Linked DNA regions of Drosophila melanogaster. The protein of the gene in region 4 purifies or fractionates together with the protein of the main gene of each other region. This does not show direct contact. Each region holds a gene or a part of one and is shown on either strand. Other genes may lie near its edges. The genes, in order: Prp19, Bx42, CG14641 and fand.

The links.
Region 1: the proteins of fand (region 4) and Prp19 purify together in Drosophila melanogaster (affinity purification with western blotting; 2 studies listed by BioGRID, with this or other methods). This does not show direct contact.
Region 2: the proteins of fand (region 4) and Bx42 purify together in Drosophila melanogaster (affinity purification with mass spectrometry; 2 studies listed by BioGRID). This does not show direct contact.
Region 3: the proteins of fand (region 4) and CG14641 purify together in Drosophila melanogaster (affinity purification with mass spectrometry, with the first as the bait; 2 studies listed by BioGRID). This does not show direct contact.

What each region holds. Positions count from the first base shown.
Region 1 is NT_033778.4:18,446,824-18,452,990, forward strand, and holds Prp19 (Pre-RNA processing factor 19), read right to left. Parts: upstream 4,219-6,167; 5' UTR 4,086-4,218; coding exon 4,067-4,085; intron 4,003-4,066; coding exon 2,649-4,002; intron 2,598-2,648; exon of another isoform or gene 2,546-2,597; coding exon of another isoform or gene 2,104-2,545; intron 2,049-2,103; coding exon of another isoform or gene 1,278-2,048; intron 1,228-1,277; coding exon of another isoform or gene 1,118-1,227; intron 1,062-1,117; coding exon of another isoform or gene 985-1,061; intron 931-984; coding exon of another isoform or gene 891-930; exon of another isoform or gene 789-890; coding exon 644-788; 3' UTR 538-643; downstream 1-537. Other genes in the region: Lamtor2 (late endosomal/lysosomal adaptor, MAPK and MTOR activator 2), read left to right, coding at 1-127, 195-317; CG30120 (uncharacterized protein), read left to right, coding at 891-930, 985-1,061, 1,118-1,227, 1,278-2,048, 2,104-2,545; rswl (roswell), read left to right, coding at 4,553-5,893; Dnaaf3 (dynein axonemal assembly factor 3), read right to left, coding at 5,954-6,167.
Region 2 is NC_004354.4:9,103,343-9,108,211, reverse strand, and holds Bx42 (Bx42), read left to right. Parts: upstream 1-1,607; 5' UTR 1,608-1,764; coding exon 1,765-1,987; intron 1,988-2,254; coding exon 2,255-2,815; intron 2,816-2,880; coding exon 2,881-3,740; 3' UTR 3,741-4,342; downstream 4,343-4,869. Other genes in the region: Arfrp1 (ADP-ribosylation factor related protein 1), read right to left, coding at 280-536, 655-907, 975-1,067. UniProt on the Drosophila melanogaster protein: May play a role in chromatin structure and function.
Region 3 is NT_033777.3:4,230,228-4,234,227, forward strand, and holds CG14641 (uncharacterized protein), read right to left. Parts: upstream 2,116-4,000; 5' UTR 2,016-2,115; coding exon 759-2,015; 3' UTR 552-758; downstream 1-551. Other genes in the region: abs (abstrakt), read left to right, coding at 2,902-4,000.
Region 4 is NT_033778.4:13,592,032-13,597,062, forward strand, and holds fand (fandango), read left to right. Parts: upstream 1-1,612; 5' UTR 1,613-1,694; coding exon 1,695-1,739; intron 1,740-1,797; coding exon 1,798-3,828; intron 3,829-3,891; coding exon 3,892-4,467; 3' UTR 4,468-4,526; downstream 4,527-5,031. Other genes in the region: S-Lap5 (Sperm-Leucylaminopeptidase 5), read left to right, coding at 4,791-5,031. UniProt on the Drosophila melanogaster protein: Subunit of the NTC(Nineteen)/Prp19 complex, which is part of the spliceosome. The complex participates in spliceosome assembly, its remodeling and is required for efficient spliceosome activation. Essential for efficient pre-mRNA splicing.

The DNA.
Region 1 (6,167 bases), 4.9 Mb from region 4:
GATAACGGCGGCCATAGCCAGCAACATATGGGCGGCCTACGAGAAGCATGGACGCAACGCCTTTCGCGAAGGTCGCCTCACTTTCGTGCTCATCGATTGTGAAAACGGTCATGTGGCCATCACACAGGTGGGTGATCCTCTTTTTTTTAGCAGGGATTCGTTCTATAAAATCTTAACTATATTCCTTTTTACAGGTTGCCAGTGTCCTTTTGTGCCTGTACGCCAAGCAAACGGTGGGATTGGGTCTTCTGAAGCAAAAGGCCATGTCACTGGCCTCCTATTTGGAGCGACCGCTTAAGCAGATCTCGGCCTCATAAGGATAAAACAATGATGTACCAAGTTCCGAAATGAATAAGTTAATAAGTGTATGCATCAAAAGTGAATCAAATGAATATGAATAGTCTGCGGAAAAGTTTAAACGATAATATATTAGTACTTGAAATTATGAATCTTTAAGGATTTTGTTAGTATTTAAGGAAAAACTTGTCTGCTGGTTTCCAAAAGTAACCCAAAGATATTTCGTATTCTGAATTATTTGGATAGAGGGTCAGGTTTATTATTCTGCAAGATTTGTTCAAGAAAACACACAATCATTAGGGAATATTGTATAAGAAAATTTTGGACTTAATTACTAAGTGTGGACTTATTCGATGGCGTAGAGCTTCAGGGTGCGGTCCATGCTGGTGGATGCCAGATACTGGGCGTGCTTGCCGAATCTCACGCCCGTTGCCAGGGCCGTGTGGTCGTTGAATACCTTCAGTTCCTGCCACTGCTTGCACAGGTAAACCCTGTAAATAAAACGAAGCAACCGTCAGAATTTGTATTTGTACCGTGGCAACCAAATAAACAAGTTAACTAAGGGAATCTTCTTTGGCGAATTTAACTTAACAATGCGAAAGTTTAAAAGAAAAGTTTACCGCGAATATGAAAGTAAGTATTATATTCTAATATGCGAAGACTTAAAAATGCATGCTGCTCTTCAAGATTTCGTGCGACCCAAGACCCATGTGGAACCGGAGCCTCCAAAGCCCATAAACTTATCGATTGAGGACTTCAATGCGGTGCGAAATAATTAATTTTTATATTTCCAAAGTTAAGTTTTATTAATATTCCTCAGCGCGGAGAGATCGCCAATCCCCGTGCTCCTTGTGTGGTCACCACCATCGATCCCGATTATATTAAGGACGCCAGTGCGCAACGTTTGGCCAGAAAATTTCGCATGAAAACGTAAGGAATCAAATGAATTATGTGCTGGTGCAATTTCACAGCTTTTTCAGGGACATCCTACTCTTGAGGGAGATTACCCGCAATCGCTTTATGTACTATGCTACGCAAGAACTTTTTTTGGACCGAAAACGCGAGAAGGAATACCAAGACAATGTATACGAAAAGGCCGAGGAGTTTCACAAGTTTGCAGAGGAGTCGCTCAAGAAAATGGAAGCGGAGGAGTTTAAGAAAATGTTAGAGGCCCAAGAAAAGCTGAAGACACTGAAGGAAAGCAAACTGAGCGAAGAGCTGAACGAGGTGAAGCTGGAGCATCAGCGAGTGCTGATGGAAGTGCAGGAGGTCTACGGTCGCTTTCAGTATTTACTCAAACTGATCAGCTACTTTGATGACACAGTTGAGGAGGAGCAAACCGAGGGAGACGATGCCAGCAATAGGCTTAGCATGCCGCAGGAAATCGTAGCCATGGAGATCACCGAACGACATCCAGCGGGTCTCGAGCAAGTGCGTCAAGTCCAAGACTACATGGAGAAGATAGTGCGTCCGTATTTGGCAAAGCGGAATCATCTCAATGCAGAGATTTGGATACGTGGCTATGAGAGAAATCGCTTAAAGGTGTCCAACTACAACAGGCGCTTTTCTCAGTTGGCAATCTTGAACCACATCGTAGCCATCCTCCATGACAAGGCCCAGAAGACGTACGAGCGTCAGGTGAAAGCCAATGTGTTCCTCAAGGATCCCGAGTTCCTGCAGCGACGGGTGGCAGGTCTTCAGGAGCGTGCCAAGGGTCTATTAAATGACTTCGAGCAGAGATACTGCAAGGAGTGAGTTGGGATGCGTACATATTTGAATCAACTATTTTATATTCTTAATTTCCAGCAAGCTGAATATCAAGCTAAATGCTATTGTACCAATTATTCTCAAGCAAATCCAAAACAAAGTTAAGCCGGAGCAAAAGCGAGAGGTTACGCAGCCGCCATCCAAGCCAGCAGCCCAGAAGTCGTCCAAGCAATGGCGAACACTGGAAGACATGCAGCCTCCACCACCGCCACCCAAGTCTACATACGCGGACGAACAGGACACGACTCTTGCCAAGGTGGAGAAAATCCAGGGCTACGTTTTGGAGCTCTTGGCTAAACTGGACCACATCGAACCGAGCAAGCTGCGAAGTGTCGAGCAGCAGGTTCGACGTCGCATGGCAGCGGAGAAGGAAATGTCTCGCCGTGCGTTAGTCAAGCAGAACCGGCTACACAACTGGATGGCGCATTTCAAGAAGCATCATGATCAGCAGGTTGAGCAACGATGGAAAAATAAAGTCTAAGCTAGACAACAACACCATACTTAAAACATTAAATGAATACAATTTAAAACTTATTTTAACCTCATTCTGAATGATTTCAATAAGAAAAGTACAATTCACTTACCTGACATCGCTGCCGGCGATAGCCAGATAGGTTCCGCTTTGGTCGAAGCACAGATCCTTGACCTCGTAGCCGTCATCAAGCTGGATTGTCTTAAAGTTCTTCAGCTTTCGCAGATCCCACAGCTTAACGCAGGCATCATCTGCAGCGGTGGCCAGGTAGTAACCGTTCTCCGAGAAGGAGATGGCCGAAATGGGACCGGTATGACCAGGGAAGTTGGCCACATTGCTCTGCTCCTTCAAATCCCAGATCTTAACCTGCGAGTCCACGGTGCCCGTACCGAAGATCAGACCATCAGGATGGAATTGCGCTGTCGTCAGCCCGACTTCGGCGGTATCGATTACCTTGGTGAGCAGGCGTCCTGTGCGGATATCGGAGAATGCCCAGTGTTTGTCGGATGATGTGGACAGCAAGTAGTCGCCAGTGGGGTGCAGCGAAAGGCCAGTAACAGGTCCTTCGTGGCAGCGCAGGAGAAGCTGCGTCTGCGAAGTGGGCACGTGCCAGATGCGTATGTTCATGTCGGGCGAGCCGGTTATGACTGTATCCTCGTTAGGATGATATATGACTTTGGTGATCTTCTTGGTGTGTCCCTTCAGGATGGCCACCATCTGCTCTGTGTCCTTGTTGAACACGGTGGCGTTTTTATCGTTGCCTCCGGTCAGAATCTTACTGTGATCAGCACTGTTGATGTCCAAGGCCAGAATGCCGGGAACGGAGGCCGAGTGTAGGCCGGGATGGGATGCCACAGTAAGGAAGTTCTTAACCTGATCCGTTGTAACCAGATCCTCGGGCACAGTGCGTCCGCGCTTCTTACGCTCCTGCGTCAGCACCGTGGCCTTGTCCTGCAGTTTCTGTATGACCTCGGCGCTCATGCCCGCCTGCTCCATGGGATGGGCAGCAGCTCCGCCAGCCTCAGAGGCCAGGGCCGGTTGTGGTATTGCCGTGGGTGCGTTGGCAATGCCCGCCTGCGGTTTCAACGTGGCCAGAGCTTCGCGAGCGGCGGCCACCTCCTTATTGAGGCGGGCAATCACACGACAGGCGGCATCGTGCTGATACAGCGCATGGGACAACTCCTGGCGCGTCGTTTGCAGCTGCTGGCGTTGTGTGAACGAGTGAATCATGAGGGCGTCCCACTCGTCCTGCATCGTTTTCAAAGTGGCCGGAATGCTGGTGGCACTTGGCGGTTTCGGTTTCACCACAGCCGGCGTCTTGATCTCGATCAGCTCCTCCGGCTTCAGCTCCTTGCCGCTAATGGGATCGCAGCCATTCTCTAACAGATACTTCTCAATCACCCGCTTTTCGAAAACGGCTCCCGAGTGCGGGGAAACCACGGGCGTCTCGGGGACTTCGTTTGTCACTTGGAATGGAAAGTGCGATTCATAATGGCCCAATTCAAATCAAAATCTAAATTATTCACTTACGTGCGCAAACCAAAGCCATTGCTGTTTGTGATTATGTCGCTTTTCGCGTAGTCTTGTTGGTAAATTAAATGTTTTACACGTTTTTCCCGAGCCAAGCGCAAAATTGTCGGCAAAGCCGCTTCTTCTTATTATGCCAGTTACTCGGCGACGCGGGAGTTTCGAGCACAGGGCTGCCAGATCAAATGGATTTTGGCTAGAAATTTGCACAGAAAAAACTAGCTAGAATTTAAACAATTTATTTTATTGATAACACAACACATTCAATAAGTATTTAATCCATAACAATAGTTTTTATAGATAAATGACATTTACTGATAGAGAAGTGAGTAACATATCTTAAATCAATCAGCTATCTCACCGTTTTGCCAATCACAGTTCCGCACGCACAATCCATAATTGCTGGCAACCCTAGCACGTTGTTTCTGTTATTCAATTCACGATCTAGTTTTATAACATAGTTTACTGCCATTAAGGTATATTTTTAAAATGCTGAAGCATTTTGCACGATGGCGTCTGGGCAGCCAGTTGCTAAAGGGATGTGCCGCACCAGTGAGGCAAGCCTCCAAAACCTCCAGCGCAGAGAACCTGATAGCCGGCACAGAGGAACCCCAAAAAAAGTTCGTCAATCCGTTTTCCCAGCCCGCTCCTGCGTTAAGTAATGATACGATATCAGAGAACAAGGAGGAACGGGATAAGCGACTCAAGGTGCTGCAGCTGGAGGCGGACATTGCCCACCAGGAGGGTCGGCGGGTGCCGTCACTGGAATTCTTTAAGGATCATCATTGGGAGCACGTGCTGACGCTACCCACAAAATCAGCTAGGATCAAGTACTTTGGCTATCTCTGGCAAATCGAGATGAAGAAGGAGGCGGATCAACGCAAGAAGGCAGAGCGAGCGAAGGAAGCCGAGCGGCGGGTTGCGGAGATGCGAAAGGAGCGCGAGGAGAATACGCACATTATCTATGGCCTGGGACACACATCGTTGTTTCTGCGTATCTATGATACCACTATTAATCACTGGCAGAACAACCGACTCACACGGGCCATGCAGTTTGCCCCCAAAATGGTTTTGGATTGCTCCTACGATGAGCACATGAACAATCGGGAGGCTACCTATGCAGCAAAGCAATTGATGATGTGCTTTGCGGAGAACCGGATGAATGATGAGCCCTTCGATCTGCACTATTGCAACACCCAGATGGACAGCAGATGCATGCAGAGCCTCCAACGCTACATCCCCACCATGCACAATCCAGAGTTCCCGATAAATTTGCATAGCAAGTGCTTTACGGAACTCTTTCCCAAGCAGAACCTGGTCTACCTAACGCCCCACTGCCGGGAGGATCTGGTCACTTACAACCCAGATGACATCTACATCGTGGGCGCCATGGTAGACACTATGAACAACGAACCCCTTTCGCTGGCCAAAGCCAAACGATTGGGCCTTCGGATGGCGAGACTGCCCCTGGATCGCTACCTACAGTGGGGTTCCGGTTCGGGAAAGTCGCTAACTCTAAACCAGATGATCAACATTATGCTGGACCTCAAGAAAACCGGCGACTGGGATACGGCCTTGAAGCATGTGCCCCGTCGGAAGGTCGTGCAAAACGAATTCCAGCCGCGCAGGGAGAAAGATCATTGGAGCACAGGCACGCGGGCCAGGAAGCTTAATATGCGAATCGATCATCTGTTTGATTTTGACGAGAATCGCCGGCAGGCTACCTCCTATGCAACTCCGCAGAATGTAAGGCAGCGACGGGAGGGCTTGGAGTTCCAACTGGACACTTGGGCAACGGGGAAGCAAAAGAAAAAGCAGAGACAAAATTAAAGTTACTCGTTGTATTCATTAAGATGCATATTTCATTTTATTCGGATTCGGATTTCTTATTCATGGGAAGTTAGTTTTTGGTTGTAGGGGACCTTCTGCCTCCACTTCCTTCTTAATGGCTGCCACAGTCTGATTCGATGAGGGAATCTCTTCAATTACTAGACCAGTATACTCTTCAGCAGGTTCACCATAATCTGTGTCTGTGTCATATTTGAAAGTACTTTCTGGCATGGCTTCTGTCACGGCTTCATCTTCTTGTTCATCTTTATCGGTC
Region 2 (4,869 bases), on a different chromosome or scaffold from region 4:
CGTTCTTTGTTATTCTAACAATAGTATTTGTAATTCGTTGTCCTATGCAGAAGTCTCACAGCTTTCTAACATTGTTTTCCTCATTTTCTCAGCAGTAGTTAACCGAAAAGAAAGGTCTTTGCAAATAATGACAACGCATCTTTACAATTGGTATCTCGCAATCTCGTCTGGCTAATTACAAATAAGCGTTATCCTAAGCCCCTAACTTACAAAAGTACATGTCTAATTAAAGCCAGTGGAGGGCCGACTACCAGGCCCAGATGTCTTCTGCTTGATCTTCTAATCGTTTTCCCGCGGCGGCCGCACCACCGCATGTCGTTTGATGGCCTCCACCAGCCACTTAATGCCCTCGTCCACGCCCTCGCCGTGCAGCGCGGATACGGGAATGGTGAGGCAATCTCGCCGCCCGATTAAAGCACCCGCCTGCTGGAAAACTGGCTTGATCTCCCGCACGCCCATCACATCCGGCAGATCCTGTTTGTTGGCCAGGATTAGCAAAGGCACTCCGGACAGCAGTTCGTTCTTGATCATCTTGTCTGTGGGGAAAGAGAATAACACATTTTAGGTGAACCTTTTTCCTTTTACCAGAGATCATCAGAATAGATCAAAACGAGTTTTGTTCAAGGGATTAGTTCGAAGACTGTTTTCGCTTACCAAATATCGCTTTGGACTCTTCCATGCGCTCCCTGTCGTTGGAATCAATCACGTAGATGACGCCATGCGACTCCTGGTAGTACTTATCCCAGAGAGATTGCAGCTCCTGCTGGCCACCAAGATCCCAGAAGTTGAGGCGTACGCCCTGCACGTCGATGGTGCCGATGTTGAGGCCCACCGTCGTCGTGATCTTGCTCGGATTGAGGCCCTTATAGTTACGCGTAAACGTGGTCTTGGCGGCCTCCAGGTAAGTCTACGTGGGCACAGGTGTTAGTTTCCGATTGGACATGAGGCTTTCATTGGATGATTCAGCTGCCTACCGTTTTGCCAGCATTGTCCAGGCCCAGGATTACCACGCAGTAGTCGTCCTTCTGAGTCATGTATTTGTAGAAGCCGTGCATCAATGTGTACATTGTATTGTGTTTTTGGCCAACAAAAACAAAAACTTAAATTGTTGACTGAACTGCTAGCGATGGCACTGCCAGCGGCTAGGGCGATGCGATAGTATCGATCGGGCAAGTGTCACTTATATCTATCTAATTATTAGGGGGATGTCTATAAATTATATTTTTAAGTATTGCACAGTTCTGTTAAGGTAATAAAAATAAATTATTCAAATTTTCTCTGATTGCCCCTGATTTTTATAAACCATATTGTAGTATTTTGATAAGAACATTCGAAATAATGGTCCAAATATGGAATGTCATACCTCGTTAAGCTCGTAATAAAATTTCAAATCAAACTGTGTTCAAAAATGCAAATTCAATTTTTTGACCATTTTTTGCAAATTTTGATGATGTTTGATGACCATTACCAATCCACTACCGATTCGCGTTCAAATTTGGAAAAAGCTATCGCTTTGTTATTTCTACCAATTTGGTTTTCTTACGTCTTAAGAAAAACGCAATATATGCAATCCATCCCTAAAAGGGACCATACTCTATAGCATTTTCTTATTAGCAGTCTGGCAACCCTACACACCCGTACGCTTGTGTGTGTCCGTGTGCGTGCGTGTTTTTTTTTTCGACTTTTCCATTATAGTTTTTGTGGCTTGCATATTGAAAAGTGATTTCACATAAGAATTGATTCGCCACAAATAACAGATAAGCTATGTCGCTATCAAGCCTGCTGCCCACGCCGACGAACGCGATCTGGGATCGGGAGGACGAGCGTCGCCTGGTCGCCCGCGGAGCACCAAAGATCGGAGCCCTGGTCTCCGCCAAAATCGCTGCTCCGCCGTACGGACAGCGTAAGGATTGGGTACCACATACGGATGCGGACTTTGGCGATGGCGGCGCCTTCCCGGAGATCCATGTGGCGCAATATCCACTAGGTGGGTTCCCGTTCGTGCTAATCCCACTTTCTCTGTGCTTGCAAACAATGTTGTCGCGGTTTTTCGTTGGTAATGGTGTCCTCGTAAGGGAAATAACCATTAGCTTCTTATATGTGGGTGATTGTACAGCGAGAAGGCTTCAATTTCCACCACATTAAGTTAAACGTTTGCTGTAGAATGTTGTATTTTTGTATTTTATGATCAGCATTTTGAAGCGTGGCTTATTCAATTGAAACAATTTCTGCGTCTTCTTCATCTTCTCGACAGGTCTGGGAGCACCAGGAAATGTTGGCAAGAAGTCGGATGCTCTGGCCGTTCGCCTGGACGACAAGGGAAAGGTTAAATACGATGCCATAGCACGCCAAGGACATGGCAAGGACAAGATTGTGTACTCGTCCATTTCGCAACTGCTGCCGGCGGAGGTGTTGGCCGAAGATGCGGATGAACTACAGCGCCCGGACGAGGAAACGGTGATGGAGACGACGGAGGAGACGCGCCTGGCGCTGGAGAAGCTGACCAACCAGAAGATCACCTCAGCGCTGCCCGTGCGCCATGCCCAGAAGGCGGGTCCCGCCCAGTACATTCGGTACACGCCCTCGCAGCAGGGCGATACCTTCAATTCGGGCGCCAAGCAGCGTGTCATCCGGATGGTGGAGGCGCAGCTCGATCCGATGGAGCCGCCCAAGTTCCGCATTAACAAAAAGATTCCACGAGGTCCACCATCGCCGCCGGCACCTGTCCTCCACTCACCATCGCGCAAGGTGACGGTCAAGGAGCAAAAGGAGTGGAAGATCCCGCCCTGCATATCGAACTGGAAGAACGCCAAAGGTGCGAGCTAATGTAAAACTAGAATCCTCTTCATTATCCTAATTAAATCTTTGCCTCGATATCAGGTTACACCATTCCACTGGACAAGCGTCTGGCAGCCGATGGACGCGGTCTGCAGCAGGTGCACATCAACGAGAAGTTCGCCAAGATGGCCGAGGCGCTGTACATAGCCGATCGCAAGGCGCGCGAGGCGGTGGAGGCACGCTCCCAGCTGGAAAAGAAGCTGGCCCAAAAGGAGAAGGAGAAGAAGGAGGATATGCTGCGTATGATGGCGCAGCGGGCTCGCGAAGAGCGAGCGGGACTACGCAATCCGGAGGCAGCCGAGCCATCTGGTTCCGGAGCTACAGGATCCGAGGTGCGTGAACGCAACGACTTGCGGGCAGAGCGGCAAAGGGAGCGCCAGCGGGATAGAAACCTGCAGCGGGCGGCTCCCGAAAAGCGATCGAAACTGCAGAAGGAGAGGGAGCGTGACATTTCTGAGCAAATCGCTTTGGGTCTGCCCGCCAAGAGTGCCGGCAACGGTGAAACGCTCTTCGATCAGCGTCTATTCAACACCACCAAGGGCATGGACTCCGGTTACGGTGATGACGAAGCGTACAATGTGTACGACAAGCCGTGGCGCGATTCCAATACACTGGGCGCTCACATCTACCGACCCAGCAAGCAGGCGGATAGCGATAACTACGGCGGTGATCTGGATGCCATTGTAAATACCAAGCGTTTCGTGCCAGACAAGCAGTTCTCCGGTGCCTCCAAGGAGGCGGCCGCTGGCCAGAGGAGTGGACCCGTTGAGTTCGAGAAGGAGGAGGATCCCTTCGGTCTCGATCAGTTCTTGAACATGGCCAAAAAGGCGCCCAAGCGTGCCGAGGAGAAGAACAACGAGCGCAGCAGCCATTCGGATCGCAAGCGCAGCAAGCGCGATTAGACAAAAGCTTTAGCGTGAGGATTACCAATCATCGTTGTATCGTCATCATCATCATTGCAAACACTATTCACCATTCACCAACCAAACAAACGTTTTTTTTAACTACTCCAACAACTTGGCGAGAATTTCAATAATAATCACAGGATCTTGACATAAACATGAATGTGTAATTACGGGTTATTTGGCATAAGTGCGCTTGGAGGAACCTCAATCAGCACACATCCGATCCAGAATCACAGATTGGTCAGTGAAAGATCAGTGGTGTGACCACATACGGCGATGGTTTGATTGCTCTTCACGTGCGCATCCATGCGGGAGAAGGTATAAGCCGAGGGAGCAAGGATACTGGCTTCCGGATCTAGAATATAATACAAAATAAGCAATAGTATGATAGAAACTTTTAAAATATGATGACCATCTTTTTGGCGCCTATAATCAAAGAATAAAGTGACCCTCTTTTGCCAATAAGCTTTCTAGCGGACCTTTTTTGTAGTGTTATACCACTCCGTTGAATTCCGTTAAATTAATAGGAATGCAAATAATGTATTTAAGAAATAACCAATCCTAAGGTACTTGATTAAATGTAACAGTAATTGACTGTCACCCTGCCTACATATATTATTCCAAATTATGTTTTCTTAAACTTGCAAATTTGTTCACTACGCAAAATATAAATGAAAAACAGTATTTCGCCGGTATTTTTAGAGCAGCTTTATCGTCCGCACGCACGCTGGTCACACTGTGTGACATTGAGTTGACTTTAGTTGCATTAGTTTAATTGCAATTTTATTCGATTTATTCGCAAATAAGTGAGCAGCCCAACGTCGAAACTCGAACGGCAACGGTCCACACCGCCATCCGCCGCATCCCGGAGAGAATGCGCTGTCCTCGCGGCGAATTCCACGGATTCAACGGCTTCTAGCGGCCGCGAGGTGTTCCGAGGAGCTCTGGGATTCTAGCACCACCTCCTCCACTCCGCCGAACCACAACAAACGATCCACAGCGATCCCAACCGATCTGATATTATGTAAGTTGAGCGTGCCCGCGTCGTGGATGGTAAACAACAATCATATCATCGAAGGCACCCTATTCCATACGCCCAAGCAGCAGTAATCCCATATTATATAGC
Region 3 (4,000 bases), on a different chromosome or scaffold from region 4:
TATTCTTAAATTTAAATCCTATGCATAATTTAAATAAGTCTAATTAAGAAAATACATTTTTATTAATAAATGACTGAAATTTCACTTTTTCATTAAAATTGATAGAGGATTAAGTGAATAAAAAGAGGTGTAGAGAGATGAATTGAGCTATCATTTATAGCGCTTATGCGTGATTTTGATTTTGCGCTATGCGATGATTTCCTAGAACATAGGTTCAGGTCATGGTTTTTTTTTTTAATACAAATTAACCTGTGATTAATTTGATCGAGATTTTTAATGATCAGTAATGAGCTGATGAAATCTGAATGAATGGAATGCAGGGAGGTAGTCATAATCCCAATGTTAAGTTCCCCTATAAATACTGAAGAATGAACTTACATATGTACATGTGCATTGGTGTACTTTTTTTAATCCCAAATATCGTCCAAATCAAAGAAAAGCATTTATTAAAGGTAAAAACGAGTGACGAACGCACATCAACATACATATGTACAAAAGTTTTGATATAAGCTTTTGTGACGAAAATTTGTTCTTTTTTTCTTTTTTTTTTTAGAGTTTAAATCATTTATTATTATCTTCTCCTCTCTAATTGTTTGGTGTTTTTTCTTAACAATTCGAATCGAAAACAATTTCGTCCATACGGATAAATTCTATTAATATTAAGTCATTTTTATGGAACTGACCACTTTAAAAAGTTTGTATTTAATTTTATAAAAATGATTTATTGAATTGGAACCATTGTAGACCACAGGGTTTTCCTACTTTTTAACAGCTCCCATCCGACTGGCGTCCTGACTTGGATACGGTACTTGACCCGGTGGCGGAGGAATCGATATGGAATCCAAATTGACACCCGAGGAAGAAAGGGCTGTGGAAGTGGCGTTTCCGTAGGGAGCTGCATAAGTAGGCTGACCATACATTTGGTAAGCCGACGCCGGAACTAGATTTGATGGCAACTGATGCAGCTTCATGCCGGCGGGCATGACATTGATTTGCTCTTGGCGAAGATTGAAGTAGTCGTTGGGCTTCGCGCTAGGCGGTGGAATGCCGGCCAAGTCGAAGCGTCTGTCTGTCTTTGCAGCGGTGCCCTGCTTTGCCTGAGAGTGAGCCCACTTAATGCTCACCTTCCGGCCCTGGATCACCAGTTTATTAAAGGTCCGCTCAGCAGCCAGCTCGGCAGCGTTTCTTTTGGTGTATTGCACAAAAGCGCACTGCTGGCGTGGCACCAGCGCAATTGATCGAATTTCGCCGAACTGGTAGAACTGATCTCGCAGCTCGGGTTCCGTGATTTCTTCAGGAAGGTTCCCCACATAGAGAGTTGTGATGTTGCGGTCCTCCGGCGGCTCGAGTGTGGGAAGCGAGGCTGCACGCTTCATGATCTTCTCGGCCACAGGATCGTTGCGTCCGTAGTACCTGTCCTTGATGTTTTGCTCACATAGCGGATCGTCCGGCTCGTTGGGCTTGTCGTGGCGGTATGGGCACTCCTCTCCACGCTTGCACTCGCCCTTAACCCAAAAGGAGCAGATGTGCGGCCGATTTCTTTTGTAATAGGGTGCTGTGCGCGCAAGCTTGGACAACATCTCGTTGGCGGCGAGGGATCGACCGACAGCTCCTGCCGCCTCCGTGCCATCTCCGTCCTGCAGCTGGGCGTCTATGTTTTGGATGTAGTATTCCTTGTTAACGTCGCTTTGTGGCATATTGTCAGCCACTTTGAGCGCCGCATCTCGTACTTGAATCGGCAGTCCGTACTCCAGGTCCAAGAGGCAGGTCTGACACACGTTCTTCAGGCGCGCACACGTTTGACATATCTCCGTCTTTTTGAAGCGCATACGAGCACCAGGACACCATCGAAATATTGTGAATGGACGCGTGCATATCTTGCATTCCTTGCCGAACCGCTCTTTAATCATCCGCACGTACGGATTGTCGCCAAGGCAAGTTTGGCACAGAATTGGGAATTCAGCATCTTCCCAGTTCTGCCGGTTATAGGTGTTAGTCGTTTTTGACATAGACATAGCAGCGGCACTTATGTACCTTGCACTTAAAATCCGAGCTAAATTTAGACAATGCTCATTCGCTTTCTACTTGTCGAAAATGGTGGTGTGTCGCGAGTGATATACCAATATCGATAAGTTGAGCCAGAAGCAGACAGTTAGTTCAAAGTCAGCAATCGATATAATTTATTGAATTTAATAGCATATTCACACTGCTTAGAATATATATCTATACCCAAATGCACACAAAAATATATTGCATTCGACTGATCCGAAACCGATCAATACGATATTCTACTATTCTGTACTATTCATGTTCGCTAACCGTTTAACAGAAATGTTCCTGAAACACTTTTGATAGCACGCATAAGTTCATATAAAATGTTTCTGGGCGATTTACACAGAGTTTTTGGCACTTTTAATTCCGATGTTCGCAGTTACGTATTCACTGCGCTCTGACCACTTATGTTATTCAATTAATTATCATTATTTACGAACAGCACTTTTGGCCCTGCTTTAAATATATTTACTAAGTATTTTTACCTGCCTGTTATATTTCACCAACAGTATGGCAACCTTCGCGCTAAAAGTTGCATTTTTCACGTTGCTTGGTTTTCACAAAAAAAGAAAGACTCAATCTCAAACTCAGAAAACCAGAGCACCTAAAAACGAAATCGAAAGATTTTGCCCAAATTGAAAAAAAAACTATTATCCGGTCTGCATGCCATGAATATATCATAAGCAAGAAGCTGTCAGTGGAATCACTGTTTAATAACTGTAATCGATACCCATTAGAATATAGTATTTTTCGGGCTCGCCTAATTTAAAACGTCGTACGGTGGCCTTTGTTGTAGTCAAATTAGGCGAAAACGAAACAAACAAAAATCAGAAATATAGATCGAATGCTATGGCGCACGTAAAGCGGTATCGGAGGTCGTCTAAGTCCTCGGAGGAAGGCGACCTGGACAACGAGGACTACGTGCCATACGTACCGGTGAAGGAGCGGAAGAAGCAGCACATGATAAAGCTGGGCAGGATCGTGCAACTGGTTTCGGAAACGGCCCAGCCCAAGTCGTCAAGCGAGAATGAGAATGAAGACGACTCGCAGGGTGCGCACGATGTCGAGACCTGGGGACGCAAGTACAACATTAGTCTGCTGGACCAGCACACAGAACTGAAGAAAATTGCCGAGGCCAAAAAGTTGAGTGCCGTCGAAAAGCAGCTGCGAGAGGAGGAAAAGATTATGGAGAGCATTGCTCAGCAGAAGGCCCTTATGGGTGTGGCAGAGTTGGCGAAGGGGATTCAGTACGAGCAGCCTATTAAAACAGCTTGGAAACCGCCGCGTTACATTCGGGAAATGTCGGAGGAAGAGCGCGAGGCCGTTCGCCACGAGTTGAGGATCCTAGTGGAGGGAGAAACCCCCAGCCCGCCAATTCGCAGCTTCCGGGAAATGAAGTTCCCTAAAGGTATACTTAACGGCTTAGCGGCCAAAGGCATTAAGAACCCGACCCCAATCCAAGTGCAAGGCCTGCCCACTGTACTAGCCGGCCGCGACCTAATTGGAATAGCCTTCACTGGGTCTGGAAAAACGCTTGTCTTCGTGCTGCCAGTCATCATGTTTGCCCTGGAACAGGAGTATAGTCTGCCTTTTGAGCGTAACGAGGGCCCCTACGGCCTGATCATTTGCCCGTCCCGCGAACTGGCCAAGCAAACACACGAGATAATTCAACACTACAGCAAGCACCTCCAGGCATGCGGAATGCCTGAGATTCGTTCCTGCCTGGCCATGGGTGGTTTGCCGGTCAGCGAGGCCCTTGACGTCATCTCACGCGGCGTACATATTGTGGTGGCGACCCCTGGTCGTCTAATGGATATGCTGGACAAGAAGATCCTTACGCTGGACATGTGCCGGTACTTGTGCATGGACGAGGCTGACCGCATGATTGACATGGGATTTGAAGAGGACGTTCGTACGATATTCTCTTTCTTCAAAGGCCAGCGACAGA
Region 4 (5,031 bases):
GTCAGCACATTCTCATTCTCAGTGGGCAAAATATTGAATATGATATAATATTGTTAGCAGAAGTCATCTCAATATGATATTTTATAATTAGCAATGTTTTTAAGCTATTTTTAAGTGAATATGCTATGGTTTTTTCAACTCTTTTAGATTATTTACAATTTTTAGACATAATAATCATTTTAAAAAATCTCATTTGAAAACAACGGGCATTTTTAATTTTAAGAATTAAAAGTTTTCCTTGAAATAAACCCGAATCTTTGCTGGGATTTTAGCCAACTGAATTGATAAAGCTTTTCCGCTGGCAGTTAAAAAAGCTGCATGCGGCTCAAAGCTGCAGTGGTTTTAGCCGCCTTTGTTGTTGCTGTTGTTGCTGGCGGGCGGCTTAGTGTGTCAGTTTAGTGGGTGGCAACAGTGCGAAGAGAGGGGGTGGCAAAGAGAGAGATATTGGGCCACAGCCGGCAAGGAAAATCTAAGCGCTTTTCCGCACTTTCGTGTGTGTTTTCTGTTTACATTCAATACGGGAGGCCCTAAAATGCCCAAAATTTTCCCTCGGGCAACAAGAGCGAGTGGAAAATTTTTGAGAACCATCATAAACAGCTGTTCGGGAAGCGGGGAAATAGATTTTCCGGTGGTGGTTTTTTTTTACCTAGGATCCAGTCTAATTGGATTTACCTGGACCAATTGGAGTGCGGCGGCACACACAAGTTTGAGCCTGTGCGAAAAATATAAAATCAATGCAGGAACAAGTGTGTGCGAAAATATTTATGACACCCACCCACTCACACGCTCGCACACACACACTTGCAAGCACACGCACACGTGTGACGTGTTTTTTCGTGTTTTCCCCTCGTCTTTTACTTACCACTGTGCTTGGTTTTTCCACGGTCGTTGGGTATTACTTAAAACTTAATTCGATTGATAGTCGTTCTATGCTGAGAAATGTTTCAAGCGCGTCATTTTGATCTATTTTTATAGTGTTTTTTTCGATAGACTTTGATTTTTTGCCTTTGGCTGCCAACTCGCCTGCGCTCCTCACTCTCTTTGGCTCTCTTTTGCACGGCTGTGTGTGTGTGTGTGTGTGTTGGTGCACTCACGCAGTTGCCTTCGTTGCGTAAATTATGCAAAATGCAGGCCAATTGCAATGTGTTTACAAAAACAGAACAAACGATCGCGTTAAGTGTGTTTTTTGCGATTTTACGAGCGCGTTAACTGGTCTCTGCGAAATACGCAAACGGTATGAACGTCAAAATATTGGCAGCAGCGACGAAAACATCTGCAGATGGGCTTACGAAAAATTCACAAACTGAGGCCAGTGTTGGGCAGCGGACGAAGGGCGAAATACCAATTCAAAGGGAGGCAAAATATACCGCAATGGTACTCTAGAAAATTCACGATTGTTTTGGTTTGTCCATAACTTCAACGTTTAAATAAGGTGCACTTAGAAAATTCTAGATGTTCACAATTTGTAAAAAAAATGTACACAAGCCAAAGTTATCTTAGTTTTATGAACAATTTTTCTGTATTCTTAAAATATTGTTTACATGTTAATTAGGATTTAATTACTTTGGTATTAGCTGCGGTATCTTAATACCACTACTTTTCAAACCTTCTGGCAACGCCATTTCGATCAGCTGTTTTCGTGGGACGCGCATGAGAAAATTATTGTTTGCGGCATTTCATGAAAATCGCGAAAAATGGTGACAAAAACGATAAAATCTCTGAATTTAGAGATCAATTTCGTAAGTACCATGAAATATATGTAAATCACAACTAACCTATCAAGTTTTTCACACACAGGAAGTGGAGGATGTGCCGTATGAGGAGGAAATCCTTCGAAACGCCTACTCCGTAAAACATTGGCTGCGCTACATTGATCACAAAGCGAAGGCGCCGAATAATGGTGTTAACATGGTCTATGAGCGTGCTCTGAAAGAGCTTCCTGGCAGCTATAAGATCTGGCACAATTACCTGAGAACTCGCAGGAAGCAGGTGCGCGGCAAGATACCCACGGATCCCATGTACGAGGAGGTCAACAGTGCCTTCGAACGTGCACTGGTGTTTATGCACAAAATGCCACGTATCTGGATGGACTACGGTGCCTTCATGACCTCGCAATGCAAGATTACCCGCACCCGGCACGTTTTCGATCGGGCTCTAAGGGCTCTGCCCATCACGCAGCACGGCAGGATTTGGCCACTGTATTTGCAGTTTGTACGCCGCTTTGAAATGCCGGAAACAGCACTGCGAGTCTACCGTCGATATCTGAAACTCTTTCCCGAGGACACAGAGGAATATGTGGACTACCTACAGGAAGCAGATCGGCTGGACGAAGCTGCCCAGCAGCTGGCGCACATCGTCGACAACGAGCACTTCGTTTCCAAACACGGCAAGTCCAATCATCAGCTGTGGAACGAATTGTGCGACCTCATCTCGAAGAATCCACACAAGGTGCACTCCTTGAACGTGGACGCCATCATTCGCGGTGGGCTGCGTCGCTACACCGATCAGCTGGGCCACCTGTGGAACTCTCTGGCGGATTACTATGTGCGTTCCGGCTTATTTGATCGGGCAAGAGATATATACGAGGAAGCCATTCAAACTGTGACCACCGTAAGAGACTTCACCCAAGTCTTTGATGAATACGCACAGTTCGAGGAACTCTCGCTGAACAGACGTATGGAGCAGGTAGCTGCCAATGAGGCGGCCACCGAGGAGGACGACATTGACGTTGAACTGCGGCTCTCACGCTTCGAATACCTCATGGAGCGCCGTTTGCTGCTGTTGAATAGTGTGCTTCTGCGCCAGAATCCGCACAACGTGCACGAGTGGCACAAGCGGGTGACACTGTACGAGGACAAGCCCGCCGAGATCATCAGTACGTACACCGAGGCCGTGCAAACAGTGCAGCCGAAGCAGGCGGTCGGCAAACTACACACTCTCTGGGTGGAGTTCGCCAAGTTCTACGAGGCCAACGGACAGGTGGAGGATGCTCGTGTGGTCTTCGAACGCGGCACTGAGGTTGAGTATGTTAAAGTAGAGGATCTGGCGGCGGTGTGGTGCGAATGGGCAGAGATGGAGTTACGGCAACAGCAGTTCGAGGCGGCACTCAAGCTGATGCAAAGGGCGACGGCCATGCCAAAGCGAAAGATTGCCTATTATGATGATACGGAAACGGTGCAGGCGCGCCTTCATCGCTCGCTAAAAGTGTGGTCCATGTACGCGGATTTGGAGGAGTCATTCGGCACATTCAAGACGTGCAAAGCCGTCTACGAGCGGATTATTGATCTGAAAATCTGTACGCCACAGATCATTATCAATTACGGAATGTTCCTCGAGGAGCACAACTACTTTGAGGAAGCCTACCGAGCCTATGAGAAGGGCATCTCTCTGTTCAAGTGGCCCAATGTCTACGACATTTGGAACTCTTATCTAACCAAATTTTTGGAGCGCTATGGCGGCACAAAACTGGAGCGAGCCAGAGATCTCTTCGAACAGTGCCTGGATCAGTGTCCTCCCGAGCATGCTAAGTACTTTTATTTACTGTATGCTAAGTTGGAAGAGGAGCACGGTCTCGCCCGGCATGCCATGTCGGTCTATGATCGTGCCACGTCTGCTGTCAAAGAAGATGAGATGTTCGACATGTACAACATATTTATAAAGAAGGCAGCCGAGATCTATGGCCTGCCACGTACCCGCGAGATCTATGAGAAGGCCATCGAATCGCTGCCCGAGCAGAATATGCGCCACATGTGCGTTAAGTTTGCTGAGTTGGAAACGAAGTTGGGCGAAGTGGATCGAGCTAGAGCCATCTATGCTCATTGCTCACAGGTATGATAATATATATAGATTTCTAATGCATCACTTAATCTAATTATTGTTTGCATTCTTCAGGTTTGTGATCCCCGCATCACTGCAGACTTTTGGCAAACTTGGAAGGAGTTCGAAGTGCGTCACGGCAACGAAGACACAATGCGCGAAATGCTGCGCATCAAGCGCTCTGTGCAGGCCACTTACAATACGCAGGTGAACATGATGGCCGCCCAATTCCTGAGCACAAACAACGGAGCGGCTGCGGATGCTGGAGCAGGAGCTGGACCGGATGCCATGCGATTGCTGGAGGAGAAAGCTCGCCAGGCGGCAGCCGAGTCCAAACAGAAGCCCATCGAGAAGGCGGCCTCGAATATTATGTTTGTGCGCGGTGAGACTCAGGGTGGTGCTAAGGATAAAAAGGATACGGTCGTCAATCCTGATGAGATCGACATTGGAGACAGCGACGAGGACGATGAGGAGGAGGACGACGATGAGGAGAACGAGATGACGAACGAGAATCAGGCCAGTGCAGCGGTCACGAAAACCGACGAGGAAGGCCTGGTCATGAAGAAACTGCGCTTCGAACAAAAGGCCATTCCAGCCAAGGTCTTCGGCAGCCTCAAGCCCTCAAATCAAGGCGACTCTGATGGAGAGTAAATGTTTATACATATATATGACTTTTTTCGGGGTAAATACATGTATGTCGAAAGTTTTACAATTGTAATTGATCGGTTTTTATGTTCTGGCCTCAATTAGATTCTTAAATGGTACTTTGATATTAATTGTTGTCAAACGAAGGGGGCCTGTTAGATATTGTCTCCGTTTTGGATGATCTAGTTAGTATAGCCTTAGGCCAAACAGAGGAACACACTTTCAACTGTCATTCCAAAATTGTTAGGCACTTCGTGATCTAAAAAAGCTAACCAGACGTGCGCAAGGGCGGACTAACCAGGACTAACCACACACCGTGTATCTCGAAGATGGCATCCACACGCATGATCAGTGCTTTTACGCGCAATCCAAGATTATATCAACAGGTCACGGCACCCTGGAAATCGTACAATCTGTTTGGAACACCACTTTTTAACCACAGACTTCAGCCAGCGGATTCTCAAATCTGGAGGGGATTAGCAGACAAGTGTGACAACAAGACTGTTATCAAGGGCGTGGTGGTGGGCGTCTACTCCAAGGAGGGCGACGGTAAGGAGGTCAAGATGACGT